Mytilus edulis: one gene and its partner. The protein of the gene in region 2 binds, or shares a complex with, the protein of the main gene of each other region. Links are inferred from orthologs where the notes say so. Each region holds a gene or a part of one and is shown on either strand. Other genes may lie near its edges. The genes, in order: signal peptidase complex subunit 1-like and signal peptidase complex subunit 2-like.

What was found.
Region 1: signal peptidase complex subunit 2-like (region 2) and signal peptidase complex subunit 1-like share a complex: the UniProt entries of both Caenorhabditis elegans proteins name them as parts of the signal peptidase complex. The link is inferred for Mytilus edulis from reciprocal best matches to the Caenorhabditis elegans genes spcs-2 and spcs-1.

The regions. Positions count from the first base shown.
Region 1 is NC_092356.1:70,170,757-70,178,262, forward strand, and holds the start of signal peptidase complex subunit 1-like, read left to right. Parts: upstream 1-4,303; 5' UTR 4,304-4,409; coding exon 4,410-4,463; intron 4,464-7,506. UniProt on the Caenorhabditis elegans protein: Component of the signal peptidase complex (SPC) which catalyzes the cleavage of N-terminal signal sequences from nascent proteins as they are translocated into the lumen of the endoplasmic reticulum. Dispensable for SPC enzymatic activity.
Region 2 is NC_092346.1:86,977,879-86,986,092, reverse strand, and holds the start of signal peptidase complex subunit 2-like, read right to left. Parts: upstream 3,071-8,214; 5' UTR 3,023-3,070; coding exon 2,990-3,022; exon of another isoform or gene 2,973-2,989; coding exon of another isoform or gene 2,958-2,972; intron 1-2,957. Other genes in the region: intraflagellar transport protein 81 homolog, read left to right, coding at 6,365-6,508, 6,993-7,084. UniProt on the Caenorhabditis elegans protein: Component of the signal peptidase complex (SPC) which catalyzes the cleavage of N-terminal signal sequences from nascent proteins as they are translocated into the lumen of the endoplasmic reticulum.

The DNA of each region.
Region 1 (7,506 bases), on a different chromosome or scaffold from region 2:
CTGTCCTTGATAGCTAACTGTCTCTGTGCTAGTTTAAACTCCACTGTATTTGGATTTCTTATAATATTTCCGAATAAAGTTAATGTTCTTTTATCAATTTCTGCTTCTATTGGCATCTGGCCAGACAAAAGATAAGTTGCTGAGTCAGCTGTTCTTTCTGGTAGATGCTGAATACGTTTTAATAGTTGTTTGAAATAAGATGACAGAGCTTTTATATCACTAATCATTAATCTAACTACTTCAAGTCCATGTATAAGTCTTGGAATTATAAATATACGGATGATATGGATGGATACAGTGGGGTTTAAACCGTTCAGACCGTGGAGGCCAGCTCCCATTAGCGCATATGTTGCCTTTCTAGCAGCACTGATCCTTGCGTTGCTAACATTCTTTGTGCCAAACTTTGATGAATTATCTCTTTCTATACCCAGATGCACAGCAGATTGTGATGTTGGAATCTCTTCTGAGTTCATGGTGAATTTCCTAGGTTGTTTGTCATTAAATTGAACCACAGATGATTTTTGTTTGCATAATCCCCTTGTATGTCAAGCATTGCTTGCAGATCCTCCGGGTTGTTTGACACCAGACACACATCATCTGCTACTGTTGGTGTGCCACAATAAATTGGTCCAACATAACTTCCTAGATTCTGAGTCTCTATATGGTCCAACATTGGGTTAATAAAAAGTTTATATGCTGCAGGGGAGGTAACACCACCTTGACGTACCCCTTGATGCTCAGAGAATACCTTTGATAGTTCACCTTCCCATTTGATTTGAGATGTTAAATCTTTATACCATTCTTTGAACATCAGCCATGAGTCACTTTCAATACCACTTTGATGTAGCTTTCGTAGTAATGAGCTGTGCCAAACTAAGTCGAAAGCCTTCTGGGCGTCAAGAAAGGCAACATATAATGGCCTGTGCATGTCCTGCGCCTCCGCAATTAGTTCATTAAGTATCAGAGCTGCGTTTAGTCCAGATATACCCTTAGTGAAATCCCGTTGTAGTGGGCTCTGTGCATTTTTGAGTGTTTCATCTTTCTTTTCTAAATATAATGTTTCTAGTATTTTGTTTAGAATACTGGTTACAGTTATTTTCCTATAAGAGTTGGGGTCATCTAGTGGTTTCCCTTTTCGCTTAAAAACTGGCGTTGCTATACCAAGTTTGAGTAGATCTGGAATTGAGCATACATGAAATATCATATTGATTAGTTTTGTTACTGCTGAAATTACTATTTGGCCTCCGTTCTTTAAATGTTCACTTGTCAAGTTTGCACAATCGGCTGCTTTACCGCTCTTTAAAGTGTTAATCACCTTTTCAACCTGCTCTTCAGTTACAGAAATTTTTTCACTATTTTCGAGATTTGAAATATATGTATCTTCAAACAAGAGACAGTCTAACTCTACTTGGTTGTTATATAGAGCATCTTCGTAGTTAGAGCTTGAAGGTGTTGCTAGTTCCTCAAAGTACTCAGCCCACCCTTTCCTTATTGAGTCAGGGTTGTCATAGATACCATTCCGTTAAATTTCAGTTGTGTTGTTTTTTCCATACCAGTTCTTCGTTGATCATTTACTAACTTAAAGAATAGTTTTTGGTCACCTTCCCTAGCTGTCATTATATTTTCAAACTTTTGTTTTCTGGCTACCGCTTCTAGTTGCCTCTGAGTTGACCTAAGTTTGCGTTTTCCATTCTTCATGTTTCTAAAATGAATGTTCTCCTGGTCTCTTGGACGACCAGCCATCTTCCACTTCCAAAAATGGTGTTTATTTTCACAACATGCCTTTTTGATTTCATCAGGCCAGTATCTCTTTCGAGGGCGAGATTTTTGCTTATTTGGTTTTGCACATTCCTTAGCTGTAACTTTGACAAGAGCCATGACAGGATCGTGTTGTGAAGTGTTCATATAGTCTCTTTCCAGGTTCACAAACTGATTAATGATATGGTGGTTACTTTGTAATATATAGTCAATTCTTGACGAGCATTTCCCACTATGGTGAAAATAAGTGTCACATTCATTACTTTCTGGTATATGAAGTTCAAATTCATGGATAAAATCTAAAAACAACTTGTCTCTCCGACTCAAATTTTCCTTCATTATTGAGGCATTTACATCACCAGCTATTATTATATCACAGGTAGGCTTGAATTTATATATTATTTCCCCTATTTCCTCTAAAACAGCTTTGAACTCATCATCTGCATTTTTCGAACCGCTACACGGCATATACTACACCAATAATTACTCAAATTCTATGGTATTGAAAATAACACACTAAATTGGATTCAGGCATTTTTACAGGACAGAACACAAACGGTAGTCATTAATGGCATTTCCTCCACCTCAGTACCCGTAACATCTGGTGTACCACAAGGAACAGTATTGGGCCCAATACTGTTTCTTATCTATATAAATGACTTACCGGAATATCTAGAACACAGTAAACTTAGACTCTTTGCTGATGACAGCATAATTTACAGGGAAATAAAAACACAAGATGATTGTCATAAGCTACAACTCGACCTTGACTCAGCAGCTCGATGGGAGTCAGATTGGCTTATGGCATTTCACCCTGATAAATGTACAAACCTTTCCATCTCTCAAAAGAAAAATAACTACCGGCATAATTACATCCTCCACAATCACATTCTCGAATCAGTTACATCAGCAAAATATTTAGGCATTACATTACAATCAAATCTAAAGTGGAACAAACACATAGACAACATAGTATCAAATGGGAACAGATCACTTGGTTTTCTAAAAAGAAATTTAAAAATTACAAACACAGAAACAAAATCAAGAGCATACCAGGCACTAGTAAGACCCAAACTGGAATATAGTTGTAGTGTCTGGGACCCCCATATGAAAGAACAACAGATACAATTAGAAAAGGTACAGAGGCGTGCTGCTCGTTATGTACACAACAACTACGATTACACGAGCAGTGTCACAAACATGCTAAATCAGTTGAAATGGCCACCACTAGCTGAGAGACGCTTAAAAACCAGACTTATTTTATTTTATAAAGTAATACATTGTCTTGTTGCCATTCCATCGCATATTCTTGAACAAACAGACAGCAGAACAAGATAAAATCATACTCAGACATACAGACACATCCAAACTTCCAAGGACACATACAAATGGTCATACTTCCCGAGAACAATTATTCAATGGAATTTATTACCACAAACTGTAATTGAAACCACCACTGTTGACAGCTTTAGATATCAGCTAACACCAGCTGTTCTCTCTAGCTTCAAATAAACAATTTCAAACAAAACATGTACATATATTTTTAATCACAATCTGTAAATACAAACACTCCAACTGTTATAAAATATTTTTATAAATTTTGTATAAATTTTTGTCAATCACGCATGCGCAACAACATGTATTCTTCAGTATTGAAGCCTTGTTGACCTTATAGAAGAAGAAGAAGGTTTAGTCCTACAGTTTAGTTTAACTACTGTGACTCGACTGCTACCATCTTGTTGTTCCTCTATAGCATGAGCAATATTGTTCTTATAGCAAATAGCTGTACCCCCTTTCCCTCTAGGACGTTGCGATGGAGGCAGAGGATCTGCATCATCAACACACTTAGGTGGCAGGTACCAGTTTTGGTGTACCAGAACATGTGTCCCACGCAGAAATTTTGTTATAGTTCAGTATTGAGGTATATAATTGCATCATGTGGACTAAAAAAATAAATGAATGTAAATTCTAGGCTATTGTACTACACAAGTAAGTAGTTGCATACACAGGTTGGGGATTTCCTTCACATATAGGTCCAATCAGATGTCAAAATTGTGGTCTCCTCACTTGACGGCATCCAATCAAAGTGGGGGAAAAATTCAGTTTTATGTAAACAAAAATATCTTGAGATTTTGATGGTAAGGATAGGTTCGGACAAGGCTCTAATTCACTGAATATCCTTTCTCTCTTGAATTTTGGCTAAAATTCTTGTCGGCTTTTAGCAGGATTTTGCAGGTGAGGATTAGATTGGTATCAGAGCATCACATTTTTTGCCTTATTTGCAATGCATTTATAAATTTTTAAATTTCCATGCTGGACAGACACCCAAATTTAAAGGTTTTCTATATATTAACATAAGCACGCACACATCTTAGTTCCTTGAAACCATACATTTTATTTGTATATAAGTTTGAATGAATTTTCAAGAAAATAAAATCATAAATCCATGAAATTCTAAAGATTTATTGTAAAATAACTGGTTTCTGCCACCTTAACGAAACAGCTGTAGATTACGGAAATCGAGTTCTGTTTCCTAACTTGGACCAAAGTTTTCGTATTAGGAACGATAACTCCGTAATTATTTTTGACACGACAACTTCCTGTAGGAAAGTAAATCTAAAATCAGACTTTTTCACGATACAGCCAACACAATGGATCTCGAGAGATTTCTCCCAGAAGCATTTAAGAAAGTCCCTCTGCATATGGTAATTAAAATTATTTAAAATGCTATAGTATGGATGCCGGAAATCTTTTTTATCTGCTGGCAGTGCTGCAGTCTTGAAGTTTGAACAGCTGTTTGCCCTTTACCGACTTCTTCTTCTTCTTCTTTAGGTTTCTAGCGATCCTTCAATTATTGAAGATTATTCGCCGGGCGTCGACTATAAAATTTATAATTTACACTAATTTAGCAACAAAAAATCAAAAATAACAAAATCAAAAAATCAACATAACGTATGTACATTTGAAAAAATAAATTTTGATAAAACTATATACATTTGATAACAGAATAGTTAGGGATAGAATATGGGGATGAGAGCAGATTCTGAGATCATACTCTTGAATCCCTCTACTGTACTGCATGATACTATTTGTTGTGGCAGATGATTCCAATTTATAACTGTTCGAGGATAAAATGAATATTTATAACTGTCTTTAGATGTTTGTATTTGCCTAAATGAGTGTGGATTGCTATGTCTGGTTCTATTGTCAAGTGGGATCAAAAGATTATGTGTAGGAACTGCAACAATTTCATGAATAATTTTGTAAAAGAAAACAAGTCTGTATCGTAAGCGCCTAATTTCGAGTAGGTACCAATTTAGGTCTGTCATCATTTCAGTAACTGAGCTGTTGTTATGGAAGCGGTTGCATGAGAAGCGTGCTGCTCTTCTCTGAACCTTTTCAATTTGTAGAGTTTGTTGTTTTTGATGTGGGTCCCAAATTGTTGAGCAGTACTCTAATTTTGGTCGGACAAGAGCTTTATATGCATGAGCTTTAACTTTCGGTGATGCTATTTTTAGGTTTCTACGAATAAATCCAAGGGACTGGTTTGCTTTTGATGTCATGTTATCTATATGTTTGTCCCATTTTAAATTTGATTGAAGAGTTAGGCCTAAATATTTTGTAGAGTCAACTTTTTCTAAAGAGTGATTGTGTAATTTATAGGTAAAGTCTAAAGGTTTGCGTTTTTGGGTTACACTGAGAATGTTGCACTTATCAGGGTGAAAATGCATGAGCCAGTCCTGCTCCCACCTGCCGGCCGCTTCTAAGTCAGACTGTAATTTAAATGTGTCATCTGTTTTTTTAATTTCCCTATAAATAATGCTGTCATCTGCAAACAATCTTAATGTACTGTGTTCAATATATTCTGCCAAATCATTAATGAAGATTAAAAATAAAATTGGACTTTTTGAAAATGATATATGCTTTTTATTGTCTTAAGATATTAATAAACAACCTTTGTTTTGTTCTATGCACTCATATAAAAACTTTCAAAATTGTAAAATTTGAGGCATTTATAACAAACATATTTTACCACCATGAGTATCGTTTAGTCATCTGTTCTCGATAGTAATCAGTTCTCCTTAGCAATGCTTGTGGTTAAAATAAAAGTAGTTCAAGAAATTGTACATGTTTTCTATTTGTTGGTATTTCAAGGACAGAATAAAACTTGCTTCAAGCATGCATTTATTTCAACATTTCAAGTCTTTAGTGAGTGTCAACTTGACACTATAATCTCTCTGTATTTAGATCACACTGGTAGTTTTATGTCGCTATTGTATAAAACTCATTAATATGTTTGTATTTATGATGTGGCACTGCAGAGAAAATTAATTAGATAAATAAATAAATAATTAAATAAAATAAAAATATATAAATTAATATGAGGCAGGCATTACCTGTGAATGGGGACGAAGTTTGTTTAAATTATTTTTTTTGTATTGTAAATATTTGTTAAAAAAAAGATACGGAAATACCGTAACGTTTCCGATTTTGGTTCTGTTGTTAGGGATTTTACTTGTGACGTTATTTAAGTTATGACGTCCTGTTCAATTTAAACAAAGAAACGCAATGCATCAGGTAGGCCTAACGTTTATTCATACCAAAGACAAAGAATGATTAGAAATGAAATATTGGTATTGTGTTCCTTGAGTTCCTATATTTTACTAGACTAATCAAAGTCTCACGACAACAAGACCGGAAGAAGGAAGTAGAGTTATGTGTTCTGCGCAGATCCGGAAATTAAAAAACACGACAAAAAAAAATTGAACGATTTTGAGTTTCATTAGTACAATGAAAAATTCGGGAAATTTCCCGATTTTTTTTTTTTTTATTGAATTTTCTACTGTAATAGGGGAGTTCGTCCCCATAATAAATATTTAACCCTTATAAAACCTTAACTATCTATTTTGTGAACCTTCCAGTATCTTTAATAAAGACCCCTAACAAATTTTGAATATCTTCTATATGATGTTTGTAATTTTCATTTTCTGTTGTTGCTAATAATACTTCTGATTCAAGTGTTAGTTTTGATGTTATGAAGTAGAGTGCAGAGCAGAGTTTCTCTCTAGCCTCCTATTAATTTTCACAATACAGTAAATAATGGTCAACTGTTTCTTTTTGTCCACAGCTGCATTTGTCGTTGAGTGCTGGGCATATCATTGATTTGTACGAGTTTAATTTACAATATCCTGTTCTTGAACTTGTTGATATCCGATACATTTCAGTTGAAGATTGTCTTTTGGAAGTGTATTTTTTACATTTTGATGAAAGAAATAATATCTTCTTCCATTATCACTGTTGTCCGATCGGTTTTGCCATTTTACCATTACACTGTCTTGTTTCTTTTTGTATATCTTGTTGTTTGTAAATATTGGAATGCTTTCTATTTTTTCTGCCTCCTGTGATACTTTTTTAGCTAGTTGGTCTGCTAGTTCATTACCTTGTTTTTCAGCGTGTCCAGGGGTCCATTCAATGGAAGTAATGATTTCTTTAGATTTTAGTACCAAAATACCAATTTTAATATCATCATGATCATGAATAGTTTTGCCGTAATTAACTGATTTCCAATTTAAAGTTCGAATTCCAATTGCTGATGGGCTGTCTGAAAAAATTTTGATGGATTCTGTTGTTTGGAATAATAAGAAAATCTGTTACCAGCTTGATAGCTACTAATTCCCCTAATAAAATAGATCCTCTATTAGAAACTGGCTGTGTTAACTCCACATGTTCTGTGCTGTTTGGTATTAA
Region 2 (8,214 bases):
TAATATACTCTTGGTTAATATACTGTTTCAACATACAGCAGTTGCACATATCCATACAAATATGGTAAGCACTTAATTTGTTCCAGGTCTAAAAATGTAGTAACTATTAAATGTCAGCACAGTCATATACTAAAATATATTTTCTATCACTCAAGATTCATTGAAATAAAATTTAAACAAAATTTGTTCACCTGTAATCCCTGTATTTTCAATTAAAAAATACTGAACCACATATTTTTTTGATGTGGCCTTAAGGTCCAACCGTTAATTATATGGGGACGAAGTCCACAATTATGGTAGAAAAGTCAATAAAAAAAAAATTTAAAAAAATCGGGGAAAATTTCCAGAATTTTTCATTCTACTTATGAACTCAAATCGTTAACTTTCTTTTTCAGATCTACTTCCTGTTCCGGTTTTCCCTGCATTTGCGCAAAAAAATCTACTTTCCTTTCCGGTCTTGTTTGAATAAGACTTGGAATAAAATATATATTTATCAGTCTAGTAAAACATAAGATTGGAACTCAATACAAATTCATTATTAATAATTGTTTGATATGAAAAAAATGTTACCTGTTGAAAGCGTTTCTTTTGTTTACATTTAATATGATGTCATAACTTAAAGAATGTTACAGCTAAATCCCTTACAACAGAACCAAACTCGGAACGTACGGTGTTTCCGTTTCTTTTATTAACATGTTTGAATTTAAATAAAAATAAAAATACAGACTTCGTCCCCATTCACAGGTTATGCCTGCCTCATATTATAAAATAAAGCTATAACAGCTGTACATGTATACCAGAAGAAGAAGAAGACTCAAATTATAAGGAGCATGATGTATTCTTCGCAATGGCAAAAAATCATTCATTATATATAGGAAAAAAGGTTACAGCACATAGTTAATGCATCAAAAACAGAACGGTGTAACTTTTAACAGAAGTGCAACCTCCTGATTCATGTAACATACATTGTAAGCTGAAAAGTAAAATCAATCATGCAAACTCCACCTGTTAAAATTACCCTCAGGAACTGATCAGCTAGAACCTTATTTGGGCTGATTCAGTGGGGACAGAAATGTTCATCCCACTTTATAATAAGAAACTTATGAAAATTGAATTGAACTGTACCCTTGGAAGGGCTGTGAAACTGTATCTCAACTTTTTGTTACATTTTTTGGATAATTTGCAGACCGATTTGACTACATGTAGATGATGATGAAACAATGTGATGATTTTACCAGAATTCCAGTTCCACAGCTACATGTTCCAATAACACCATTTTTTTCATCGTTTAATATTGTCAAAAGGACAAAAAAAACAACCTTTCATCGATCCCTAGATCAGCCCTGACTGGAAATTGTTATTTGTTTATCTGATCAGTTTTAAATGAGATTTGAAAGATTCTCATCACTACAGTAGACTAGCTCTATTGGCTGTTGAACAACTTGATCATAGACAGCAATCATACCAGTGTTCTCCCCAGGATTTTTTTAAGGCGCAAAATTCAAGGGCGCGTAACTCCTTTTTTGTAGTGAACTTTTGTGATCTGAATCAATCAGTCATAAATCATAACATGCAATATTGCTTTGTGTTGTGTGTTTAATAATGCAGAGAATAAATGAATTTATACAAGAAATGAATAATATACTATATTTATGAAATAAATTGATTTTAAACACAAAAGTTATTTATATTCAGTCAATTAAAGAAGTCAAAATATAAATATTCATCTCTGTACTCTCTGCTACTTCTAGGGATATTGTTTCAAGATAGTGTTATTTTGTTTATTTGTTGATTGTCACATAATATGTTCCAGACGCACGGACTCACGATCGATGTTCAATGATCATTTTATTTCTAAAAATATGACAGTTTGAAACGAATTTACCTTGCAAGCAACATTTTTCACTTTCAATTAAAATAAATTACTTCTCGTTATCTTTAATTAAAGTTTATTTTAATTTTTTCAACAACAAATACTCTCGTTCATAATTTTCATCGTAAATATCTTTAGCAATGTGTATTCAAATCTATAACGTGTATTGAACACGTTCATTGGTCGTGTTTCAATAGATTCTTCTTCTCGACCAATGCAAAAAATTCGTTATATAAATGGTCAAGTAAACACACACACGATGCTTAAATACAATGTATTTGCGATCTATTTCTTCAATTTCTGCACTGAAGATTTTAATTTTTTTAATTTTCTTCTGAAAATATCTATCTTCTTGATGATCATTTACGCTATTACATGATAAGTTAACATAGTCCAATACGGCTGAGATAAGTGTGGCTCAGGTAAAACTATATTATCAGATATTGCGTAACACTGACCGACCTCTCTTCTTCTTCCAGCGGTGATCAGCAACTTGACAATTTTAACCAACATTTATAATGAAAATGTGAAAATTAACACGCTGCGGGATCAAGTAGTAAAAGCGGCCAATTAAGACGCTGCTGGATTAACAAAAATATTATGAAGGCGCTGCGGCACCGCACCGTCATATCGGCCTGGGGAGAACACTGATACCACCACATCATTTATATATATTTAGCTTTAATACACCTTATCGCTAATCCCGGCTGACCAGGCCGCTTGAACCTTTGACGTCAACAACAATCACTTTTCCATTGTGGCGTCAGATATTTTGTTTTATGACGTCAAAATTTTACGGGAACCTGTGTGATTTCTAGCAATGGCGGACAAATAGCGATAAGGTGTATTTTGCACAGGCACTTGTTTCTATCCATACGAAGGTCGACTATCCATATAAATAGATGTATATGTATAGTCGACCTTCGTATGGATAGAAACAAGTGCCTGTGGTATTTTGCTATAAAGGCAATATTTTCCGCATATGGAAAGTGATTTCCCGAATTTCAACGCAATACCATTGTTCAAACAGGCATGCAACTTGAAAAACAGATTTTGAAAATGTTTTGTGTGTTGTTTAAATTACAAAATTTCTCATCATTGCTAAAGAAAAATTACTTTGTCCATCAAGCCGGTCTTTTTTGAAGCCATCTCAAAAATGAAACAGGAAGTACACGTATAGAAGGAGACTAATCGAAAACCAAATAGTGTATACTTAATATTAAATAATATACTATCAACTCTATTTTGGTGGTCATATTTATAATAATAATTAGACTCTCATGTTAATTAACTAAGAATATTTGGAGACAAAGTAATATGTAATTTATAAAAAATAGTTAGAGATTATTAAAAAGGTAACCGGAAGTTGTGGTAAATTCCATAGAGAAATTTATTTTGGAGAACAGATTAGAAGATAGGTATGGTTTTTTGAAAGTTTCATCTTTATGGGAAAAGAAAATGTGATAGACGTAACGTAAAGGCATAAAGTAAAGATAATTCTGCTAAGTTTGAAATTTGTTTTAGGTATTCTTATATGAAACAAGCGTTCTGTCTTCTGAATATACCAATTTACAGGCAATAATGCTCTTGTTGATTCATGAGTGGATTTATTGATACAATAAACTTTGGTTTTATAACTATTCCCCAAACGGTTGCACTATTTTCCAAAGAATTTCAATTATTTCAGATTATTGAATCAAAATCTGTGTTGATGATCAGATCATATATACATTGATCAGCTTCTGTTAAGCCTCGGTCACACCTTATGGGATAGCAGGAACGGAACCAAACAGATGAAAATGAAAGTTTTCAGTTGAAAAAATTATTATCCGTTGGGAGTCTGTTGATGTACTGACAAAATAAAACGGACGTATCGAATGCATTATGGACACACACAGATATTCAATGTACGAGAAACGGAAATGTACCGGACAGAACGGATGTCAAATGTACATCCAACGGACGAGTACCACATAAAAATGACACCTTAGGGAAGCGTACCGGATAAAACGGATGAACAAGATATACAGAAAAATTAAAAGCGACAATAATAAAACATGTAAATCATAATATGAGGCAGGCATTACCTGTAAATGGGGACGAAGTCTGTATGAATTATTTTTTTGTAACTTACATTTATATATTTGTTAAGAAAAAGAAACGGAAATACCGTAACGTTTCCGATTTTGGTTCTTTTGTTAGGGATTTTAGTTGTGACGTTATTTAAGTTATGACGTCATATGCAATGTAAACAAAGAAACGCTATCATCAGGTAACGTTTTTTCATATCAAGGAATTATTAAAAATGAAATTGGTATTGCGCATTCCTTCCTATTTTATACTAGACTGATAAATATATATTTTACTCAAAGTTTCATACAAACGAGACCGGAAAAAGGAAGTACATTGTACATTTCTGCGCAGGTCCGGGATTTCAAAACATGACATAAAAAAAATTGAACGATTTTGAGTTCATTAGTACAATGAAAAATTCGGGAAATTTTCCCGATTTTTTTTTTATTGAATTTTCTACTGTTATTGGGGACTTCGTCCCCATATAAATATTCAAAATTGATCTGTGTATATAAAAAAGAAGATGTGGTATGATTGCCAATGAGACAACTATCCACAAGAGACCAAAATGACACAGACTTTAACAACTATAGGTCACCGTATGGCCTTCAACAACTGTGTAACTGGTTTTGGTTTTTTCTTCAAAAAAGTGTTTGGCCTGAATAAGAGCTGCTTGAATGTGAAGACGTGCTTTTACTCTTATTGCCCTCTAAGATCTATTATGAATAATAAGAATTCATGAACCTTAAGAAATCTATTTGGCATTTCTGACGCAGCATTTTCAATTGGCATTTATCCGTTTCGGATCCGTTCAGTATCCGTTGTACGTCCATTCAAAGTTGTGAACATACTCAAAATTTTCCACCAGACAGAACGGAGTTGACGGATAAAACGTACGCTAAACGGAAATGCAACTGATATGGACGGACGTCTAACGAATAAGAACAGACATGAACGATTTGAAAAAAAGTTATCTGTTAAGGTGTGACTGAGGCTTAAGAGAAAAGCCAAAGAATCTGGGTCTGTTTGGGCCCATTCACTTTCGCACCCTACACATTCCTGCCCAAATTTTTTATTGGTTTTGTGTTTAGTGACTTTGTTATCAAGTTTTGGCAAGTGTATTCCTATTAGTTAATTTGTTGTCATTGTCTCAAAGTAAAGTAAACCAACGTTTTTTTTGTGTTGAATAAATCTTAATCAAGTTTTGGATAGTGTATTGTAAAAAAAAATTAATCAGTTTCTAAATAAAGTGAGATTCTGTCAACAATTTTTTGTTGTTGTGTTGAATAAATCTTAATCATGTTTTGGTAAGTGTATTGCTACATGTATAACATTTTTTAATTATTTCAAAATAAAGTGAGATTCTGCGTTTTTTTTTATGTTTGTTGAATACATTTTAATCATGTTTTGATTTGTGTATTGCTATAATTTTTTTGTTTCATTGTTTCAGATCAAAGGAGCCAAACTGTTAAAAACAATTATCTTTTGTGTTTTTCATTTAAAATTAAAAAAAATTTACTCAGACCAAGCTTTATGCAGTATTTTACATGAAAGTAATTTAAAACAACAATTATGATTTTCTAATTATTCAACAAGAATTTGCTTTAAGATTGGGAGCGAACGAATAAATGAACCTTGGGTGCGAAAGTGTATTGGGCACGAACAGACCTAATACCAAAGAAAAAGGAATCCATCTTATTGCTATTTGAAAATCTGTCCCGCTTTACTCAAAAATCTGTTCGCTTGAATTTTTGACGTCATACAACAATAACTTTTCTTTTGGGGCGTCAAATATTTTCTATTATGATTATGACTTAAAAAAAAATCAGCATTTTTTGTGATGTCCATGGCCAATAATGCCTATGGGCAGACAAATAGCAATAAGGTGTATTGTCTTTTTTACCACCATTACTGGCCATGGACATCTAAAATAATACCATAATATTTTGACATCACAATACATGTATCAGATTATATCTGATGCCACAATGGAAAAGTGATTGTCGTTATACAGACTTTTCAAGCTTTTATTCTACATTCCTTCACATTTTTGAGATGATTTTTTATTATGTTAGTTTACACTAATGGGTTACAGATCAAGTTTAAGTTTGATTCCGCATAGCTGATTTTTGCTGAAATTACTGCATGTTTTACAGGTTAATTTGTGAAAATTATCAACTTTTTGTTAACAAATTTCCACACCTAAAAATGGCTTCACAAATGTAACAACATGCAATGTAACACCTTATAAGTAATCAACATGTAAATGTACATAGACATAAAAGTTGAAAAGAAACAGCATGGAAATCCTAATAATATCAGTACTAGGCATACATAAAGTAACATATGCATAGACATTGTAAACAGTATGTGTAAAGTTGTCTTTTTTTTCATTTCAGGGAAACTATTTGTTCAGTCATGAGTGAACAATTGAAGTTCATCACTCAGGAACTGAAAAAAGAACCATTCAGTAAGACCTACAACTTGATATCGTTTGATTCTCTTGAACCACTTCAGCTGTTACAAGTTCTCAATGATATCATTGCTGTCATTGATCCAAAGGTAATGAAATAATAACTGAATATAAATGGAAAACAAACCTTAACTTATAAATATAAATCAATTACAAACGAAAGTGAACCAACGCCTGGTGAGTCTGTAGTACGGTAGAGTCCATAAAGTGGATACCCGAGGGTATGCAGGGTCGTTATAAATATAAAATCCACTGCTCCTTTACATGAATTTTTCATACAATGTGCATGTAGTACAGTTAAAAAAAACAGTTTTTCCCTTGTGTAAATTGACTTTTTCACAAACTAAGGCATGGAGATATTTGGTTTAAAAGTTTTCCTCTTTCCAACAAATATAAAAATCAGTTTGCAGTATTGTTGTCATGTCTATTATAACCCTTCTTCTCTATTTTATCATGTTTATATAATTTCCAATGCAATAAATGAACACATCCAAATAAAAACTTAAATAGTTTTATAATATTTATTTTGATTTAACCAAAGTTAACAGTAATTCAAATTTTTTTTTTTTTTAGCAAAAGCTAGATATAAGAGAAGAAAGTCCAGATCAAACAGCAATACGAATTTTCACTACTCTTCGTGTGCTGAAGTACAAGCCTCCGAATGAGTAAGTAGAATGAAAGTTTGGAATCTGAGAGATCCACTCAGAGAAAGTATTAATACAAAGAAAAGACATTTTTGTAAAACAAGTCAGTTATATTTTATTTCTATTTACATTGTCTTTTAATTGTTTCTTATGTTGGGTTACTGTCTCATTGACATATACCCACACCTTCCTTTATTCATAAAACCATAAATGTTAATTGCATTCTTTAAAGCTGAAATTAAACCACATTGATTGAGGGGAATGTAGCATTAAAATCAAAGTATGTGCAGAAATCACATTTAGTACTAGACATTATTTACTTTATTTTATGTCTTGAGCAGTTGATTAAGGCCCCCCCATTAAGCATTTAGCTTTAAAGTGAAACAGATGTTGATATATGAATATAAATAATTAATATATTATTATTTTTTTTATAATAGTGATGTGTAAGTATTTTTTGTTAATTTTTGCTGTGATGTAGAAATCTGCTAGTTGTTTTATCTAACTAATAAATCAATGCATGTAGTGTTTTCCCAGTTACAAGAACTTCATAAGTTACTGTCTTAAAGAACCCAAGTAGTTTCATTATAAAAATAATATCAAAAGGTTTTTAACATTTTAGAAAAAAATAAAAATTTACAAAAACATATTATGGAGGTGATAAGGAAGCTCTTGATCCTACTATTTACTAAGATTACCACTTTTAAATGAAAATTTTTTTTTCAATTACTTCACTTGTTGTTACAATTTTTTGACATAACAGAAAGACCACTTTTGAGTAAGTAGAATACATCTATGAAGTATTTTTCTTTGCATTAACTGACTTGATATTTTGTTTTGTAGTTTATTTTGAAATATATGAATGAAATAACTTGCTATTTGATTGACATCTTTTTCTGACAGTTTATAAATTGTAACACACGAATGGGAAAACACTATTGTAAGTTACTGGATTATCTTTGCTCTGTGCAACTAATTGCATGTACTTTGTGTGTGGATAGAGTTCTGCTTTTATTTCTATAGGAGCAATCTGTTTTGAAACCCTAAATAAGAATTCAGTATACTTATGTGCATGTCAATTCTTTTTCTTTTTGGGTCAGAAATATTCAGATTTTGCTTTAAAAAAAATAATGTATGGTAAATTATTTAAA